Arabidopsis thaliana: one gene and its partners. The protein of the gene in region 3 interacts with the protein of the main gene of each other region in a pairwise test. Each region holds a gene or a part of one and is shown on either strand. Other genes may lie near its edges.

What was found.
Region 1: the proteins of SWI3B (region 3) and SWI3C interact in binary tests that used the Arabidopsis thaliana proteins (3 or more experiments, as listed by UniProt).
Region 2: the proteins of SWI3B (region 3) and AT2G25650 interact in binary tests that used the Arabidopsis thaliana proteins (3 or more experiments, as listed by UniProt).

Annotation. Positions count from the first base shown.
Region 1 is NC_003070.9:7,618,977-7,626,047, reverse strand, and holds SWI3C (SWITCH/sucrose nonfermenting 3C), read left to right. Parts: upstream 1-1,881; 5' UTR 1,882-2,069; coding exon 2,070-2,085; intron 2,086-2,223; coding exon 2,224-2,754; intron 2,755-3,280; coding exon 3,281-3,819; intron 3,820-3,975; coding exon 3,976-4,333; intron 4,334-4,425; coding exon 4,426-4,499; intron 4,500-4,694; coding exon 4,695-4,780; intron 4,781-4,875; coding exon 4,876-4,943; intron 4,944-5,044; coding exon 5,045-5,220; intron 5,221-5,316; coding exon 5,317-5,892; 3' UTR 5,893-6,047; downstream 6,048-7,071. Other genes in the region: OGG1 (8-oxoguanine-DNA glycosylase 1), read right to left, coding at 179-421, 538-748, 966-1,609; AT1G21695 (hydroxyproline-rich glycoprotein family protein), read right to left, coding at 6,263-6,916. UniProt on the Arabidopsis thaliana protein: Component of a multiprotein complex equivalent of the SWI/SNF complex, an ATP-dependent chromatin-remodeling complex, which is required for the positive and negative regulation of gene expression of a large number of genes.
Region 2 is NC_003071.7:10,912,524-10,917,240, reverse strand, and holds AT2G25650 (DNA-binding storekeeper protein-related transcriptional regulator), read right to left. Parts: upstream 2,731-4,717; 5' UTR 2,477-2,730; coding exon 2,240-2,476; intron 2,159-2,239; coding exon 1,235-2,158; 3' UTR 1,025-1,234; downstream 1-1,024. Other genes in the region: emb2410 (embryo defective 2410), read left to right, coding at 1-168, 260-532, 639-785; AT2G25640 (SPOC domain / Transcription elongation factor S-II protein), read right to left, coding at 3,333-3,533, 3,761-3,820, 4,196-4,316, 4,550-4,717. UniProt on the Arabidopsis thaliana protein: Probable transcription factor. May play redundant roles with GEBP and GPL2 in cytokinin responses by regulating the transcript levels of type-A ARR response genes. Involved in stress responses.
Region 3 is NC_003071.7:14,227,081-14,232,631, forward strand, and holds SWI3B (switch subunit 3), read left to right. Parts: upstream 1-1,891; 5' UTR 1,892-1,942; coding exon 1,943-2,105; intron 2,106-2,199; coding exon 2,200-2,609; intron 2,610-2,695; coding exon 2,696-3,106; intron 3,107-3,460; coding exon 3,461-3,587; intron 3,588-3,675; coding exon 3,676-3,806; intron 3,807-3,901; coding exon 3,902-4,069; 3' UTR 4,070-4,328; downstream 4,329-5,551. Other genes in the region: CRL2 (NAD(P)-binding Rossmann-fold superfamily protein), read left to right, coding at 157-326, 400-585, 660-825, 921-1,110, 1,286-1,418. UniProt on the Arabidopsis thaliana protein: Component of a multiprotein complex equivalent of the SWI/SNF complex, an ATP-dependent chromatin-remodeling complex, which is required for the positive and negative regulation of gene expression of a large number of genes.

The DNA.
Region 1 (7,071 bases), on a different chromosome or scaffold from region 3:
TCAAGATTGGTTCCTTAGTAAACAATGATCATAACAAATAACTACGCTCATTTGCCAGGGAGCCAAATACTGCATCAGCTTCAGAATTTTCTTAGCTCTTCCAAGGTCAAGTTTCTGGACTTGACGCATCAAGAATGGGTTGTGAAAACGATTCCTCGTAGCTTAGGTAGACACATAGTCATGGCTTCAACGTATCACAGCTAGTTTCATTAACTTCTGCAGACTCATCCAGTTTGTTAATGGGCTGGGAAAACGATTGCAAGAGAGTTTTTTGTGCAGGTAACTCGGCAATGAAAAGCAATGTTTGAGCCCAACCAGCATATTCACCATATTTACTCACAAAGGCTTCTGCAACTCGGCCATGGAGTTTAGGTGTCAGTTTTGCACCAGCAAGGTCTGGCAGTAGATAATTTGTTGCGATCTGATCCATTATCCAAAACAGAACAAAAAAAAAGTTGCCCGAAGTCATCATCACCATTATGTAATTGGATCTCAATTAAGTAAGTACAATACATAGAAACCGATGGACTTTGTTACCTGCCAGACATGTGTGTCAACCGGAATAGCACTATGCTGATCAAGAGAAAACAGAGCTATGCAAGCTGCTACCTTCGGACCAACACCAGGTAATGTACACAGCGCAGCAACTGCCTCTTGGAGTTCGACTTTGCGCAGAGAAAGAAGCCATTCATTACCACCACCTGGCTTTGCTTGCAAAGCATTCACTGTACCTGTTATGTATTTGGCTCTGCTCACCACAAGATAAACCAGAATGAGAGTTTTCAAATGAGATCAGAACCAATCAGAGAAACGGCCACACAATGATTATCTAGCTTAGACCAAACATTAGCTTCAATTCTATGAATGTATAGCCACAGAGTAAATAAAAGTATAAGCTTCAAGCAAAGTTTTAGCCTAAATGTCTAATTCAACATAATGCAACCATTAGAGAGTGATGAAATCACCTGTAACCAAAACCAGCCTTTCTAAACTCTTCCTCAGAAACCCTAGATAATCGATCCAATGATGGGAACTGATGAAACTCAAATCCATCAATGTCACCCAAATGTAACCCTAAAGACGAAACAAAATCCACCATCTTCGTAATCCTCGCAATGTTATTGTTCGATGAGCACAAAAACTGTATCAAGCACTCGAGCGGATCCTGCCTCAACACACGAGCGCCACGGAGATGTCTCGCTAGCTCTCCGAAACGAGGATCTTTTTTCGAGAAATCAGACCATAGCTCAGCTAACGAGATCTCAGCATTGAGAAAATCGAGCAACGCAAGCTCCGCGGATTTAGGGCTTGTGCTACAATGGACGCAGTAGGAAACTGCGTCGTCTCCTGGACGTTGTCTAAGAGAGACTAAGTGAGGCCCAATCGTTCCGCTATACTGAATCGCTCCAGTTTTCTTCCACCGGAATGTTTGACCCGTCGGAAAAGTTAACGGCAACGTCAGCTCCGTGTGGGTTAGTTTTAACGGGAACCATTTAGGTGTTCCTGTTCTGTGTAGCTTCTGTTTGAGAATCGGTGTGACCGGCGGAGACAGTGGTGGTTTGACGGTGGAAGAGATCGACGGCTGAGATGTAGGTCGAGGTCTCTTCATCGCCGTTGCTCGTTAACGGAACCACCACACCAGTATTAATGCGCGACGGTCGACTAATGTATCAATTTAAACCGGTTTAACCAATTTGAACTTTAAGAACCGAACTAAATAATTGATTCGGTTTTTCTCATTCAAAATTGAAAAATAAAACCGAAGTAAAGTTGACTTTAACCGAAGTTAAACCAAAATTTGGATTGGTCAACGAAGCTTGAATTTCGAAATCAGAACCCTCTTGTTTGTCGAGAAGGTTAGGTCGTCGTGGAGAATGAATTAATATATAGAGATTAATGAAGGAAATGGTGAAAGAAATTGCGAGAAAAAGGTTTGGTGTTTAGCTCGAGAGCTGGAAATCAGAACGACTCGGAGGAGAGAAGACAAAGAAAGCAATTCTTTTTACTAAGGGTCTTGCTTCGATTCCACAGAACCCAAAACCTCTATTTCTCTATCTTCATCCACAAAAATGCCAGCTTCTGAAGGTAAATTGCTGTTTCACATCTTTATCTCTCTCAAAATCCAAATTTAAATTGGGATTTGACTTACCCACATAGATCGTAGTGATGGGTATTTCGAGAATTCGTGTGAATTGAATTACACTTTTTACAATTCTGTCGCAGATAGAAGAGGGAAATGGAAAAGGAAGAAGAGAGGGGGGTTATCGGCGGCGAGGAAACCGAAACAAGAGGAGGAAGATATGGAGGAAGAAGACGAAGAGAATAACAACAACAACAACGAAGAAATGGATGACGTTGAAAATGCCGATGAGCTTCAGCAAAACGGCGGCGCAACTCCCGATCCGGGACTTGGTATTGGCGAGGTAGTTGAAGATTCTGGTTCGCGCATCTCTGATTTCCCGGCAGTGGTTAAGCGTGTTGTGATCCGGCCACACGCGTCTGTAATGGCTGTTGTGGCGGCTGAGAGAGCTGGTTTGATAGGGGAGACTAGAGGGCAAGGTTCACTTCCAGCTCTGGAGAACATTTCGTTTGGGCAATTGCAAGCGTTATCTACTGTACCTGCTGATTCTCTTGATCTTGAGAGGAGTGATGGATCGTCTTCGGCTTATGTTATCTCTCCACCACCTATTATGGATGGAGAAGGAGTTGTTAAACGGTTTGGGGATCTGGTTCATGTCTTGCCTATGCATTCAGGTGTGTTTTTTCTTCCTCTTGATACGCGCATTTATGTTAGAGGTTAGGCTTTATGCAGCATCAGCTTTTGCTGGTTGGTAGTATTGTAGTATATATCTTGTGATTGGAATGAGAATTAGTCAAAACAGGTTTGTATGCCGGTATCTCCTTAACGTATAAGTTCTTATCTTCCTTTTGTCTAGTGCCTGGTTCTTAGTTTACATTAATCTGAACGCGACTCAATTTCATATCAGATGTTTCTCTATGTTCCCATGTTCTGTCTGATGGAAAGGAAGAGGTATTATAACTTTTGTACATGATAAATTAGAGTACCTGCTGGCTTGAAGTAGCCTTAGGTGTCTTATCTCAGAAGTACAACTTGAATAGACTATGCAAGTGATGTTCTTCTAATTCGTTTGGGTTTTGTTCCTGGAGTCCTATGGCTCAAATATATCGAGATTCTCCTCTTATTTTATTTTTATTTTCTGATATTTTTGTTCCCAATGCTCGAATTTATTCTTCTACTTTTGCTGTTACATTTGAGCAGATTGGTTTGCACCAAACACAGTAGATCGACTTGAAAGGCAAGTGGTGCCACAGTTTTTCTCTGGGAAATCGCCAAATCATACACCCGAAAGTTATATGGAATTCAGGAACGCCATTGTTTCCAAATATGTAGAGAACCCTGAAAAGACACTGACGATTTCTGATTGCCAAGGATTGGTAGATGGTGTTGACATTGAAGATTTTGCACGAGTTTTCCGTTTTCTTGATCACTGGGGAATAATCAATTACTGTGCCACTGCCCAGTCACATCCTGGCCCTTTGAGAGATGTATCGGATGTGAGGGAGGACACAAATGGCGAGGTCAATGTGCCGTCTGCTGCTTTAACATCTATTGATAGTTTGATCAAATTTGACAAGCCCAACTGTAGACACAAGGGGGGTGAAGTCTATTCATCCTTGCCAAGTTTGGATGGTGACAGCCCTGACTTGGACATCAGAATTCGTGAACACCTATGTGATAGTCATTGCAACCATTGTTCTCGACCGCTTCCAACTGTGTACTTCCAATCGCAAAAGAAGGTTCTTAGGCTGCTTCCCCTTACGTACTGTTCTTTGTGTATCATTATCTGATTCTTTTTTGCACCCAGTGATGTAATAGACTCCAAGCTTTATCTTGCTTACTGTCTCGGATACTGGACCGCTTCTAACTAAAGGATCTTCATCTCTACTTTACAGGGGGATATACTCTTATGCTGTGATTGTTTTCACCATGGAAGATTTGTTGTTGGACATTCTTGTCTTGACTTTGTAAGAGTGGATCCAATGAAATTTTATGGCGATCAAGATGGAGACAATTGGACTGATCAGGAAACTCTCTTGCTTCTTGAAGCTGTGGAACTCTACAATGAAAATTGGGTTCAAATTGCTGATCATGTTGGTTCCAAGTCAAAAGCTCAATGCATTCTTCATTTTCTTCGATTACCTGTGGAGGATGGTCTATTAGATAATGTTGAGGTTTCTGGTGTAACTAATACGGAAAACCCTACAAATGGATATGACCACAAAGGAACAGATTCAAATGGGGATTTACCTGGTGATTTTGTTTTATTCAATTTGTAGCAATGAATTACTTTCCATAGTTATTTCCTTTGACATGCCATACTAATTGTCCGCTTGCGTCTGCAGGATATTCCGAGCAAGGTTCTGACACTGAGATCAAGCTTCCATTTGTGAAGTCTCCGAATCCGGTTATGGCATTGGTTTGTGAACTTTTTTCCGATGCAGATTTCATATGCGCTTCTTATTATCCTTATGATCTCACCAGTTAGAGATATCTCTGATCCATGAATCGATTATATCTGAGAGCTCAATTGTATGCATATTTTGAGTGGAGAATGGTCCTGTATTGCACATAAGTTTGGAGATATGAGGATCCTGATACCAAAATATTTTAGGTTGCATTTTTGGCATCAGCTGTTGGACCTCGAGTTGCTGCGTCCTGTGCCCATGAATCCCTCTCGGTTTTATCTGAGGACGATAGGTTAGTGTATTATATAGTCTCTATCCAATATAAATTCTCTGTAGTGTGATTCAGTTTAATAATACTATGGACTATTCTGAAACTTCTTGATCTAGGATGAAATCTGAGGGAATGCAAGGGAAAGAAGCCAGCTTGCTTGATGGAGAAAATCAACAGCAAGATGGTAAGGAAGTTATTTGATTGTTCTCTTTACAGTGATTCTTTGCTCTTTTGTTTTAACCTAATCTGCGACACCAACATGCTTTAATTGTAAAAAAAACTCAGGAGCACACAAAACATCAAGCCAAAACGGAGCAGAAGCGCAGACTCCACTGCCACAGGATAAGGTTATGGCAGCATTTAGAGCCGGTCTATCAGCTGCAGCAACAAAAGCAAAATTGTTTGCTGATCATGAGGAACGCGAAATCCAGAGACTTTCTGCTAATATCGTTAATCACCAGGTAAAATAGCAGAACCAGTTGCTGATGAGAATTACTGTAGGTAGTTGATTTATTTTGTTGTATAGTGTTTATTGCTGATCTGAGTAAAAACCGCAGCTGAAGAGGATGGAGCTGAAATTAAAGCAGTTCGCAGAAATTGAAACACTGTTGATGAAAGAATGCGAACAAGTAGAGAAAACCCGTCAGAGATTTTCTGCAGAACGGGCTCGTATGCTCTCAGCAAGATTTGGATCTCCTGGAGGAATCTCTCCACAGACTAATAATCTCCAAGGCATGTCTCTATCCACAGGTGGTAACAACATCAATTCTCTCATGCATCAGCAACATCAGCAACAACAAGCTTCCGCAACTTCTCAACCAAGCATAATCCCAGGATTCAGCAACAACCCGCAAGTTCAAGCACAGATGCATTTCATGGCACGACAACAACAACAACAACAACAACAACAACAACAACAACAGCAAGCTTTCTCGTTTGGCCCGAGATTACCTCTCAATGCAATACAGACCAATGCAGGATCAACAGCTTCACCAAACGTCATGTTTGGCAACAACCAACTAAATAACCCTGCAGCAGCTGGAGCAGCATCGATCAACCAGCCTTCGTTTAGTCACCCGATGGTTAGGTCTTCCACAGGTTCAGGCTCAGGGTCCGGCTTAGGCTTAAACTAAGATCCATCTTTCTCTAGCTTATTTAGCTTATCAGTATCCATATTTATTTCACCTTGTTATTTTTAAAGATAAGTTATTTGGCTTTGAGACCGTAGTCTTGTTCCAAGTTAGTGTCTTGTAGTATCAAACCATCATCATCATCATTGTGAATTAAAACAGTCACCAATCTTAATGTCTCTCTTTCCCACAACCATTTCTCTACTCTTCAAACATTAGGGGTCTTTTAACTCGATTCATTTTGACGATAATATATAGACAATTTCATTACAAATCTACATGTAACATATTCGTTCTTGTCGCAATGAAAAACTCAAAATCATTTTTATTTGATTAATCTCTAAGATGTTTTTTTTTTTTTAAGCCTAACCATTTAACCAAGGCGGGAACGAGCTATCATTAACATGGTTTTTTTCTCATAAGAGCTTAAATCCGAATCAGTCCGTTTTAGCGGCGAACCACGGCGAGAAGAGAAGGACGATTTCGGCGAACTCCACCTCGAAGATACCGGCGATCCCTGGCTAGAATCTTCTTCCGACGGAGAAAGCGTTGTTCCCGATTCATAGAAATTGTCAGACTCCGATGTTGTTGATGATGGTTCCTGCTGACCGGTCTTTTTTAAATCGCCGCTCTTACTCTTTTTCAACCCAAATAATGACTTGGGAAAAAAACACCGAGGCAATGAGCCACCGGCACGAGGAGAAGAAGATCGGAAATATGGAGTCGGAGATGCTGAACAGTTGGAGTCGGAATCTGAAGGCGATTTCAGCTTGAAAGACGGAGGAGGAGCGAAGGGAGAGACTGGTCGGCTTCTGGATTCAGAGAAGAAAGAAGAAGAAGACGACGGAGATGGCGAATTCGACGGCGGAGTTGATTTTAATTTGAGAGGAGGAAGTTTGTTAGGAGGAGGTGGTTGAAGAAGAGCTGGATCATCATCACCGGGTCGGGTTTTAGGTACACCGGGTCGGATCTCCCACTTAAAAGGCACAGCTCCGGGTCTCTTGAAAGAATCGTCACCATCGACCATTAGGTAAAAGTAAACAAAAGCGTTTCTGTCTTGATCAAATTAAGATTCATAAGGATTCTACTAATAAGAAACTACTTATAGATTTAGATTAGATCAATTATTTTTAGAACGTATCCAGATTTATGACAGTTTTATGTGAAGACTATAACATTCAA
Region 2 (4,717 bases), 3.3 Mb from region 3:
AACGTTGCAAAGTTTGAGCCTGAACATGGACTAGATCCTCTGCTAGATTTAGCCTTAGTTGGTTCAGAATGGCAATTTAGGGTTCAAAGTCGTGCCAGTAATTGGCAGGACAAACTTGTCGTGACTTCAACACGTTCTGTTGAACAGGATGCTCTCTCACCTTCGGAGGTAAATTTGAAGTTAAAATGTAGCTGTATTTTGGAAATTGTTGTGTTTTCTTCTTGATGGAAATCTCTGTTTAATAATCTCCCTTTCGCAGGCTGCAAAGGTGTTTGAGAGCCAATTAGCAGAATCCATATTAGAAGGAGATGGACAACTTGCTTTCAAAAAACTTGCAACCGCAACACTTGGAACCATAATGCCAAGGATAGAAGGAAAAGGAGAGTTTGGTCAGGCGAGATGGAGGTTGGTGTATGCTCCGCAGATCCCAAGTTTACTCTCTGTTGATCCAACTGTGGATCCTCTCAAGTCTCTGGCGAGCAACATATCATTTGGAACGGAAGTTGAAGTGCAGCTCGGAAAACGTCTTCAGGTCAGGCATAAACATTGAAATCTTCTTTCTTCTCCATATGGCCTCATTTTTTTCAAAACCTAACCAAAATAAGCACTCCACGGTTCTTGCTGTCTTTTATCTACAGGCCTCTGTGGTAAGACAGATGAAAGATTCTGAGATGGCAATGCAATGGACACTTATTTACCAGCTCACGAGCCGCTTGCGTGTCCTTCTGCAATCTGCACCTTCCAAACGTTTGCTTTTTGAATACTCTGCTACATCACAAGACTAAATCCTTTTGTCTTCCTCTGTCGGATTCATATGGATATAAGCCGTTTGTTGCAAAGGAAGTGCATTTTGGAATAGCATGGTTTTGGTGACTACCGACAAGAAAAATTATTTTATTATTTGGTCAGTCTTTCTTTGTGCACTTCTTCTGGCCTTTTAGTGGTTAAAAATGTAAAAATTACATTGTAAATGCCTTTTGTTAGGGAATGCATATAAAATGTTTTGCCACTTCATTGACTGATTGGTGCAACAAGAAAGTAATGAAATTTATTATATCCAACAATGGACATGGATGGCTCTTCTGGATACTTCAGTTAAAACTGGAATGTCTTACAAACACTTGCCCAAACAGAACAAAGACAACATCCAAAGATATACACTGAACAGACTAAAGCTTATGGCTTACTAAGAACCTAATTAACACCAAATGCTACAACGGCTTATTGGTTTCATCTAACTATCATTAGCTGCCTCTGCAAGCTTGGCGGAAAATCTAAGCTTCTTGATATTCAATCTTCTTTCCTCAACACATAACGCTTTCCATTCATCACTCAACTCTCTTCTTTTTCCAGTTCCAAGGTTCATCAGCTTCTCAAGCTGCAACTTCTTTTGATAACCACTTAAACCTTGCGACATTACAGCCTCAAATGCATCCTGCACAGCGCATAACTCATCATCATCATCGTCATCATGTCTCTCTTTTCCACCAGTAGTCCCGTTCTCTGTTGTTTTCGCTGCCCCATTCTCATTTACAAGTTCAGTATTAGCCACTTCCTCATGCTCCTTCAACATCTCCTCACTCTCGCTCTCGCTCTGCTGTGCTATTTGAGTAGTCCCGTTATTGTCTCTTATATTCTCTGCACCATTCTCATTAAAGGGTTCCTCATGCTCCTTCAACATCTCCTCCTCGCTCTCGCTCTCGAGCTGCTGTGCTTTCCGAGCAGTCTCGTCGTTGTCTCTTATCTCCTCTGCACCATTCTCATTTAACGTTTCCTCATGCTCCTTTAACATCTCCTCCCCACTCTCGTTCTCCTGTGCTATTCGAGCAGTCCCATTTTCAGCTGCGCCATTTCCGTTTACATCGTGCTCCTTCACCATCTCCTTATCCATACCATCATCATTACCAAATTCACCTTGTCCCCAAATCATCGAAGAAAATCCAAAGGCTTCAGAATCACTAGACCTAGTAAATTTCGGATCATTCCCTTCACTGATTTTCTCCCAATGAACATGAAATCTCCTTTTCAACTTCCTGATCTTACTCAAAACCTGCTCCTTGGAGAATTTCGCAACGATAGAACTTCCGAGGAAACTGTAAAACGCATCCCAATCAATTTTGGGATTGAATCCTGTCTTAGCTCTGTAATCAACTAATCCCTGAGAAATTTCGAATCTGGTTTTGAGAAAATCAGAATGCAAAACCAAATCAAAGTGTAACGGAGAAGATGAATAGAATACCTTTAAGATAGAGAGCTCATCTTCCTCGTTCCAGATCCGGACGATCAACGGCGGACCCAAATTCTTCTTCTTCTTCTTCTTTTTCTTCTTCATAGTCTCTTCGCCTGCTTCTGCTGCGAAGGAAGCAGCAGCACGCTTTGAGGAAGGATTCCGTGGAGATTCTCGATGGGAGAGGGTATCGTCGGAGTTATCACCACCACCACAGGAAGAGAAATCGATCTGCTTCGGAGTCACCATGGTAATTGCTTTACACTTGCTGATTCTAGAGGCATGCAGAGAAACCCTAAATCAGGAAATCATATTAACAAAATTGATCAGTGATTCCCAAATTTTCACGACCTTTAAAAAGTGAAACCCGAGAGAAAAAAAAGCTAGTCTTTCCAAATTTCTGAATCGAGCTGGTCAAAAAATATCATGACTGAAATTTTCTCTGCACTTCTGTTTTATAGTATAATCGATAGGAGTGGATTTTGTTACTTTTGTACTTTTTGTTACAGAAAGGAGCAATATATTAGCGGGCTGCGCAAGCCCATCTTACTAATAAAGTGCCAAATATCGGTGACTGTTGAGAGAAAATCACAAAATTTGGAAAGCAGTGTTGCCTGCAACAGAAAATGCATAACAAACACAAAATTGCTAAGGTGAAACAAAAAACAATTAATATCCTCCTCTGCCATCCTGATGAGACCACCACTCACTACATGGTCTAACCATCGAGCCACCATTTACATGAGTAACCCCAAGAGTCCAGTTAGATTGAGGCTGCCACTCTGGTAGTATATCATTGTCATTATCATTATAACTTTGGTTCCTCAAAGGTTCAGATTTTCCATATTTTTGAATAAGCTCTCTTACAGATACAGACCGGCTTGTCCGGTTCACGACAACATCCCCACTGGAAAAATAGTTAAATTCAGGCAAGTCATCATCTTCATCCCGAGCCATGGTCATTGGGCCAAACCCCGGTGGCACATCATCACCATCGTCATTGTTGACCTGTAGCATGTTACTGTAACGAGAAGTATTATATGTGGTTAACGAAGAACCCTTTTCACGGTGGTTCTTGTGAGAGTTGTTAGATAGTGGTGATTTTTTAAATTGTGTGTCTTCTCCATACAACAACACCTATAAGACCATCATCATTTATAGATTTCAAGAAATCGAGTTGGTTTCTCGGAACAATCTTGTTTAGAATCTCGACAGTTCTCCCACGGGTTGGGCATAGGTATAGCTCAACTCCTGAAGCTGGTTCTGCATAACCCACCCTCCCATCTTTAGCGTATGAATCCACCACCTGTATAGTAACAAAACCAAATGCCCAAATTTCGTTACCAAGTTAGACATTCTACAGATATTTAGGAGTGTTTCAATTTAAATTCGGTTTGGGTTTTCAGTTTGTACAGATTCGCGTTCAGTTTTGATCAAATAAATCATTAATATTCAAATAAATCTCAAGTTTTTTTAATCATCTTTTCGTTTATTTGGATACACAGAATCTTGGTTAACTACCAACGCTCATACCTCGGAAATGTTCTCTTGTTCTGTCTTTGAGCACTCTTCTTTGCAGACGAAACACATAACCTGTAACACGAAAGCAAGGTTTCAGAAGTACCATGATGGATAAACGAGTTCATCACATACATATAGAATCGAGAACAAACAGGTCTTAGTTTTATTGGAATATGGAGGCCTATTCAAGAAACATAAGCTATGCAATTGTTCTGGTGAAAATATTTTTGTAAGTCCATCTATCTCCATTGTGATTCACAGATGTAATGTATTTTTCTCAATCATTCACAAATCAGTATTGGCCGTTAATCTCTCCTCTTCTTTCCTAAATGCTTCTACTTAAGCTTGGTTAAACGTCACAGTTAATAGCTTTTGCAGGGGCTCAAACACAGAATGCGTATATAAAACATGTACATTAATGATAGAGGTAAACGTGTAGACAAATACCATTACAGCACGACTCCTGGAATTTGGGAGCTCTCGAACAAACTTCTCAAATGCATCTAATCTGACTCTACCCTTAATCTCGAGCAAAATAGGCCACTCTTTTGTAGTAGTCTTTTCGCCACTGTGAAGCGTAAAAATCAGGTTGGTAAACATGGTATCAATAACAGCGAAGCCATATTCATTAAAAAAACATTTTATAGAGCTGATAAGCACTAGAATAGTATAGATAAGTAGTAACATGTAGACTAAATAAAGAAAGCTATTCATATATGCAAACCTAAATTTGGAAATGTGGAATAAAAAAAAAATACTGAGATAGGTTTGCTACCACTCATGAAACAATTTATTACAAACCTTCTTAGAATGCCGATGACAGAGCTCACAGTAGAAGGACTCAGCTGGAGCACACCTTCCCATAAACGTTCACCATCAGGTATGAAAACAGATGTAGTTTTGGATTTCAAATCAGAACTAGGCTTTGACGATACTATGTCAGCATCCTCAGCGTTAACAGGTGATGAT
Region 3 (5,551 bases):
TCAGCCTGGTCAAAATTGATTCTTTCGTCTACTTTCTAAGGTTTTCTATTCCCAATTCTTTTTGTAGCTCCGATGTTTCTGTCTACAGACAGAAGATTAAGCCTTTTGAGTTTGTCTATTGTTCTGATGAAGAGTTTCGCATGGTTCTTGTTATAGGTAATGAAAAGTATGCTCATTTGAAGAAGCTTGATAAAGCTGGTGACAAACTCAAGCTCTTCAAGGCTGATTTGCTCAACTACGGCTCTCTTCAATCTGCTATTGCTGGCTGCAGCGGCGTCTTCCATGTCGCTTGCCCTGTTCCATCTGCTTCAGTCCCTAATCCTGAGGTGAGGATTTCATTTTTACAATCTCATTGGTGGCTATATGCATTGTCTCACTATGGTTTCACTGGTTTTGCAGGTAGATTTGATCGCACCTGCAGTGGATGGTACGCTGAATGTGCTTAAGGCATGCGTTGAAGCAAAAGTTAAGCGTGTTGTGTATGTTTCCTCTGTATCTGCAGTTGCTATGAACCCTATGTGGTCAAAGAGTCAAGTGTTAGATGAGACCGCTTGGTCTGACCAAGATTATTGCAAAAAAACTGAGGTTAATAATGCATCTTGAATCCCTCATCTCACTTTTTTTTCTTCTTTTAAATCTGACTTTCGTCCCTCTGGCAGAATTGGTATTCTTTGTCAAAGACACGAGCAGAAAGTGAAGCTTTCGAATTTGCAAAACGAACCGGACTTGATCTCGTCAGTGTTTGCCCTACCCTTGTCTTGGGACCTGTATTGCAGCAGCACACAGTAAATGCTAGTAGCCTTGTTCTTCTCAAGCTTCTTAAAGGTATTATAAACAAGCCTCTCATTTCATCTGGGATTGTTAGAAGCAGCAACTTGGTATATGAGTTGGTATTGATTTTATACTTAAGTGTGGTGCAGAGGGTTATGAATCGCGTAATAACCAAGAACGGCATTTGGTAGATGTGCGTGATGTGGCTCAAGCTTTACTTTTGGTTTATGAGAAAGCAGAAGCTGAAGGAAGGTACATCTGCATAGGCCACACGGTTAGGGAACAAGAAGTCGCTGAGAAGCTGAAAAGTCTTTATCTAAATTACAACTACCCAAAGAGGTAAGCAAACAACAGCTGCACATCTCTCTACCCAATTTGAGTGAAAACCTTTAAACCTTAATAAGCTGTTTTTGTTACTTTCATCAGTAAACAGTGTCACTTACCTTTACATCAATGTCTCTGAAGTTTCTTTTAGACCTTACCTTTGATCTAAATTCTACTTATCCAATATCAGATACATCGAAGCGGATGGAAAAGTGAAGGTGAGTTCAGAGAAGTTGCAGAAGTTGGGTTGGACTTACCGGCCGTTGGAGGAAACACTTGTGGATTCTGTTGAGAGCTACCGCAAAGCTAAGCTTGTGGACTGAAAACTGGGAACGAATAGCATATGAGTGTTTTGGGTCCATGTGTTAAGTGTTCCTATCTGCACACGCTCTTTCATCTTTTACTCAAGAATAAGAGTTGTGCAACATATTTTCCATCATGAACTTCTGAGTTTTTGTTACTTTCTTAGACACCATTACTTTTATGACCAATCTACAATTACTCCTTCCATAACTATGTTCCAATATCTCTTTGATACGTTCCAATTTCTACCTACTTACAAAGGATAACTTCACCATTAATACATGAAATCAGTAACGCACAACTTCACCATTCGAATTAACCTCTAAGCCTAGCGTAGCAGATGCACTACATCTTGGCTGACCATGGGACTAAAAAAACATTCGCAATATTTAACAACTAAAGCCAGGTTAATGGACCTGTATTAGGGCCCAAACCAGGCCCGTTTAGATATCCGACTTTTTTTTTAACTTTGCCCATCTCGATAGCTAGATTCTCTTTTCCCTCTTCCTTCTCCGGCGAAGTTGCGTTAGTTAAACAGAGAGTCATGGCCATGAAAGCTCCCGATCCCGGCGGATCTGGGGAAATTCTCCCGAGCACTCCCTCTCTTTCCGAAACTACGTCTGGAGGCGCCGCAGCAGCTTCTAAGTCGGCTCAATTGCCGTCTTCTTCTTCCGATATCGATAATATTCACGTACCTAGCTACTCCAGTAAGTCTGCAACGCCGAGAAAACTTTGATTTATTCTACTTTCTTCACTGTTTCTTACGGATTTTGTACTTGTACCGTCTATTTAACCAATTAGGTTGGTTTTCATGGACCGACATTAACGATTGCGAGGTCCGGTCACTGCCGGAATTTTTCGATTCGAGATCTTCATCCAAAAACCCTAAGTTTTATCTCTACTTGAGGAACTCGATTATTAAGCAGTACAGAGACGACCATCCTCGGAAGATTAGTTTCACTGACGTTCGGAGAACTCTCGTCAGTGATGTTGTCTCTATTCGTCGCGTCTTTGATTTCCTCGATTCATGGGGACTTATCAACTATAATAGCTCCGCCTCTGCTAAGCCGCTCAAGTGGGAAGAAAAAGAGGCCGGAAAATCCGCCGGAGATGCTGCTTCTGAGCCAGCCACAACTGTCAAAGAAACTGCCAAGAGAAACTGCAATGGCTGCAAAGCAATTTGCAGCATAGCTTGTTTCGCCTGTGATAAGGTTTGATTTCATAATTTGTAGCCATAGTAATAATTTCATTCACTGAGTTTGTCACTTAGAATGATTATGTACATTTTTGTTTTCAGTATGACTTGACATTGTGTGCGAGGTGCTATGTTCGTAGTAATTATCGTGTTGGTATTAACTCCTCGGAGTTTAAACGAGTTGAGATTAGTGAGGAGTCAAAGCCAGAGTGGTCTGATAAGGAAATTCTGCTGCTGCTGGAAGCTGTTATGCACTATGGAGATGATTGGAAGAAGGTTGCATCGCATGTTATTGGTAGAACGGAGAAGGATTGTGTTTCTCAGTTTGTCAAGCTTCCGTTTGGGGAACAGTTTGTAAAAGAGTCTGACTCTGAGGATGGTTTAGAGATGTTTGATCAGATCAAGGACTCTGATATTCCTGAATCTGAAGGAATAGATAAAGACGGTTCTTCTCCCAACAAGCGGATCAAATTAACACCTCTTGCAGATGCAAGCAACCCAATAATGGCTCAGGTTAGAAAGACACTACAATTTGAGTAGTTGCGTTCTCTCTCTATGTTAATCTTATTTGTATAAGTCTTCAACATGCGTGGAAATGCTTTTACATTGTTAGGCTACTGAAGAATAGTCCAGTGTCTGCACTAGGCTGTTCCACGACTTGCGTTTTTGTCTCCTTAAAGAACCTAAATCTAGAATACCTTGTGGGGCTTACTTTGAAATCTAGTAATAACAAACCCTAGTTGACATATATAAGGCATTTAAGAATCAAATATGTGTTAGATAATTCTGTACTGTGTTATCACACCTCAATTGTTATGCTTCATTGGCTGTCTCTGAATAAGATTTATCCTATCATGTCCTCTTCAGGCTGCTTTTCTTTCAGCTTTGGCTGGCACAAATGTTGCAGAAGCAGCAGCTCGAGCGGCAGTGAGAGCTTTATCTGATGTAGACTACGAGGCTGACAAAAACGCCAGTAGAGACCCAAATCGACAAGGTATCAAAGACCAAGCTGTCTCTATTTGCAGTCCATTTCTGTCCTAAGCCAAACCCAATAGTGACAGTTTTGTTTTCCTGATACACAGATGCCAATGCTGCATCGAGTGGTGAAACCACTAGAAACGAATCTGAAAGAGCTTGGGCAGATGCAAAGTCTTTAATTGAGAAGGAAGAGCATGAGGTAGAAGGAGCAATCAAAGAGACTGTTGAAGTTGAGGTTAGTAACAATCTGCAACTTTCCATAGACTTTTTATTATATGGTTATACTCAATGATGATTTATGTTGGAACAAACAAAATTTGGGATTAACAGATGAAGAAGATCCGAGATAGGATTGTTCATTTCGAGAAATTGGATTTGGAAATGGAGAGAAGCCGGAAACAATTGGAGGAGGTGAGGAATCTGCTTTTCGTTGATCAATTAAACATTTTCTTCCACACCAGAAAAGCCCGGAAAACTGAAGATAGAATAGAGTGTTAGAACGCACTTAATTTGAAACTGTTATTTCTTATTTGATTCTTGTCTGGTTAAGAAGATGACTTGTATTGTAGTGTACTTGAGATGTGTTGGTAACAAAATGAGATGAGATCGAATTGGTATAAATAAGGCTGGGTTGGTATAAAAGTCAAAACCAAATGGCAACTGCGTCGAAGTATAATTTTTGTCTTTATCAGGCAATCACAAGTGGAAAAGTTTTAAAAATTAATTTTGCTCTTTTGGAAACAATAGAAAATGTCAGGGTTTTGGAGATATCCGATATAAAAGATAGATTTTGTTTTCACTAAATAGGTTAATCTTCAAATGTTGTTAAGTTACCGATGTTTTTTTTGTATCTCCGTAACATGATTACTCTCTTTGTTGCTAAAAGAGTGATGGTTTTTATATTAAGAAACAGTCATTAATTAATCATTTCTGTATTGTTTGTTATATTAAACATTTTCAATAACTATAAACCAATAGCAGTCTAACAAATTTCAATCATTTTATCTTGAACTTTACTAGTTCAGGTTTTTCAGACAAACTAAAAAAACATTGAATTTTCTGTTTTATCTCTAATTAATGTGTTATTTAATATCATATCATCAATTAATCAGCCAAAACAATAAGAATTTCTTTTGGAAAATCTTTCAAAAACATGCATTGAAAATATAAAACGATAACTAATTTAATACAAAATTTAATTTCTAAAACATAACTAATTTAGAAAGGAGTGAGTGATATTTAAAAAAAATAAAGAAAAAACGAAAATGTTTTTTTTGTGGGACAAGTTAAAAGTGGTAGAACATCAATTTATTAGAAACAAAGAGAGTGTATTTTTCTTTCTTCCCCATCGGGAAACCAAACCCAATTTATTTATATATTAAACTCGTACAATATAAAATCTTTTATATTTAACTAAAAATTCAGTAAATATCCATTCTTCGTAAATATTTAAACTCTATTTTTTCTTTTTAAAAAGATCAATTTACATCTTAAATTCAAAATATAAACCATAATATATTATGTACATATTAATACTGCATTCTAAACAATTTCCCAATATAAAAAATAAAAATATATAGAGGTAAATAACTTATCATAACTACTTTATTGATGGCCTTTATAATTAGTTTCTGCTTTGGTAGAATTTTTTAGTTCAGCCTTTATCTCGTTATCTGCATGTCTCTAATTGAGCTTTGTTGCTAAGTTTTAGCTTTTTTTTTTCTTATGCGATCACTTTGCTGGTTGTTGTGTTGGTTGGTTCGGTTCCTTGTACCTTTGATGTATCCTCTATTTCTCTTTTTATCTAGGTTAAGCTTTTTTATTAATGAAATATTAAGTTTGATTGGAAAAAAGAGGCACATTAATAGAAAGTTAGCTTTGTTGTTTAGGTTTTATTTAATATATGTACGTGTGTCATATGTCATAGGTAACAATCTTACTATTTGATTATTAAGCCGGTTTTTGCGTGACGGAACTCTT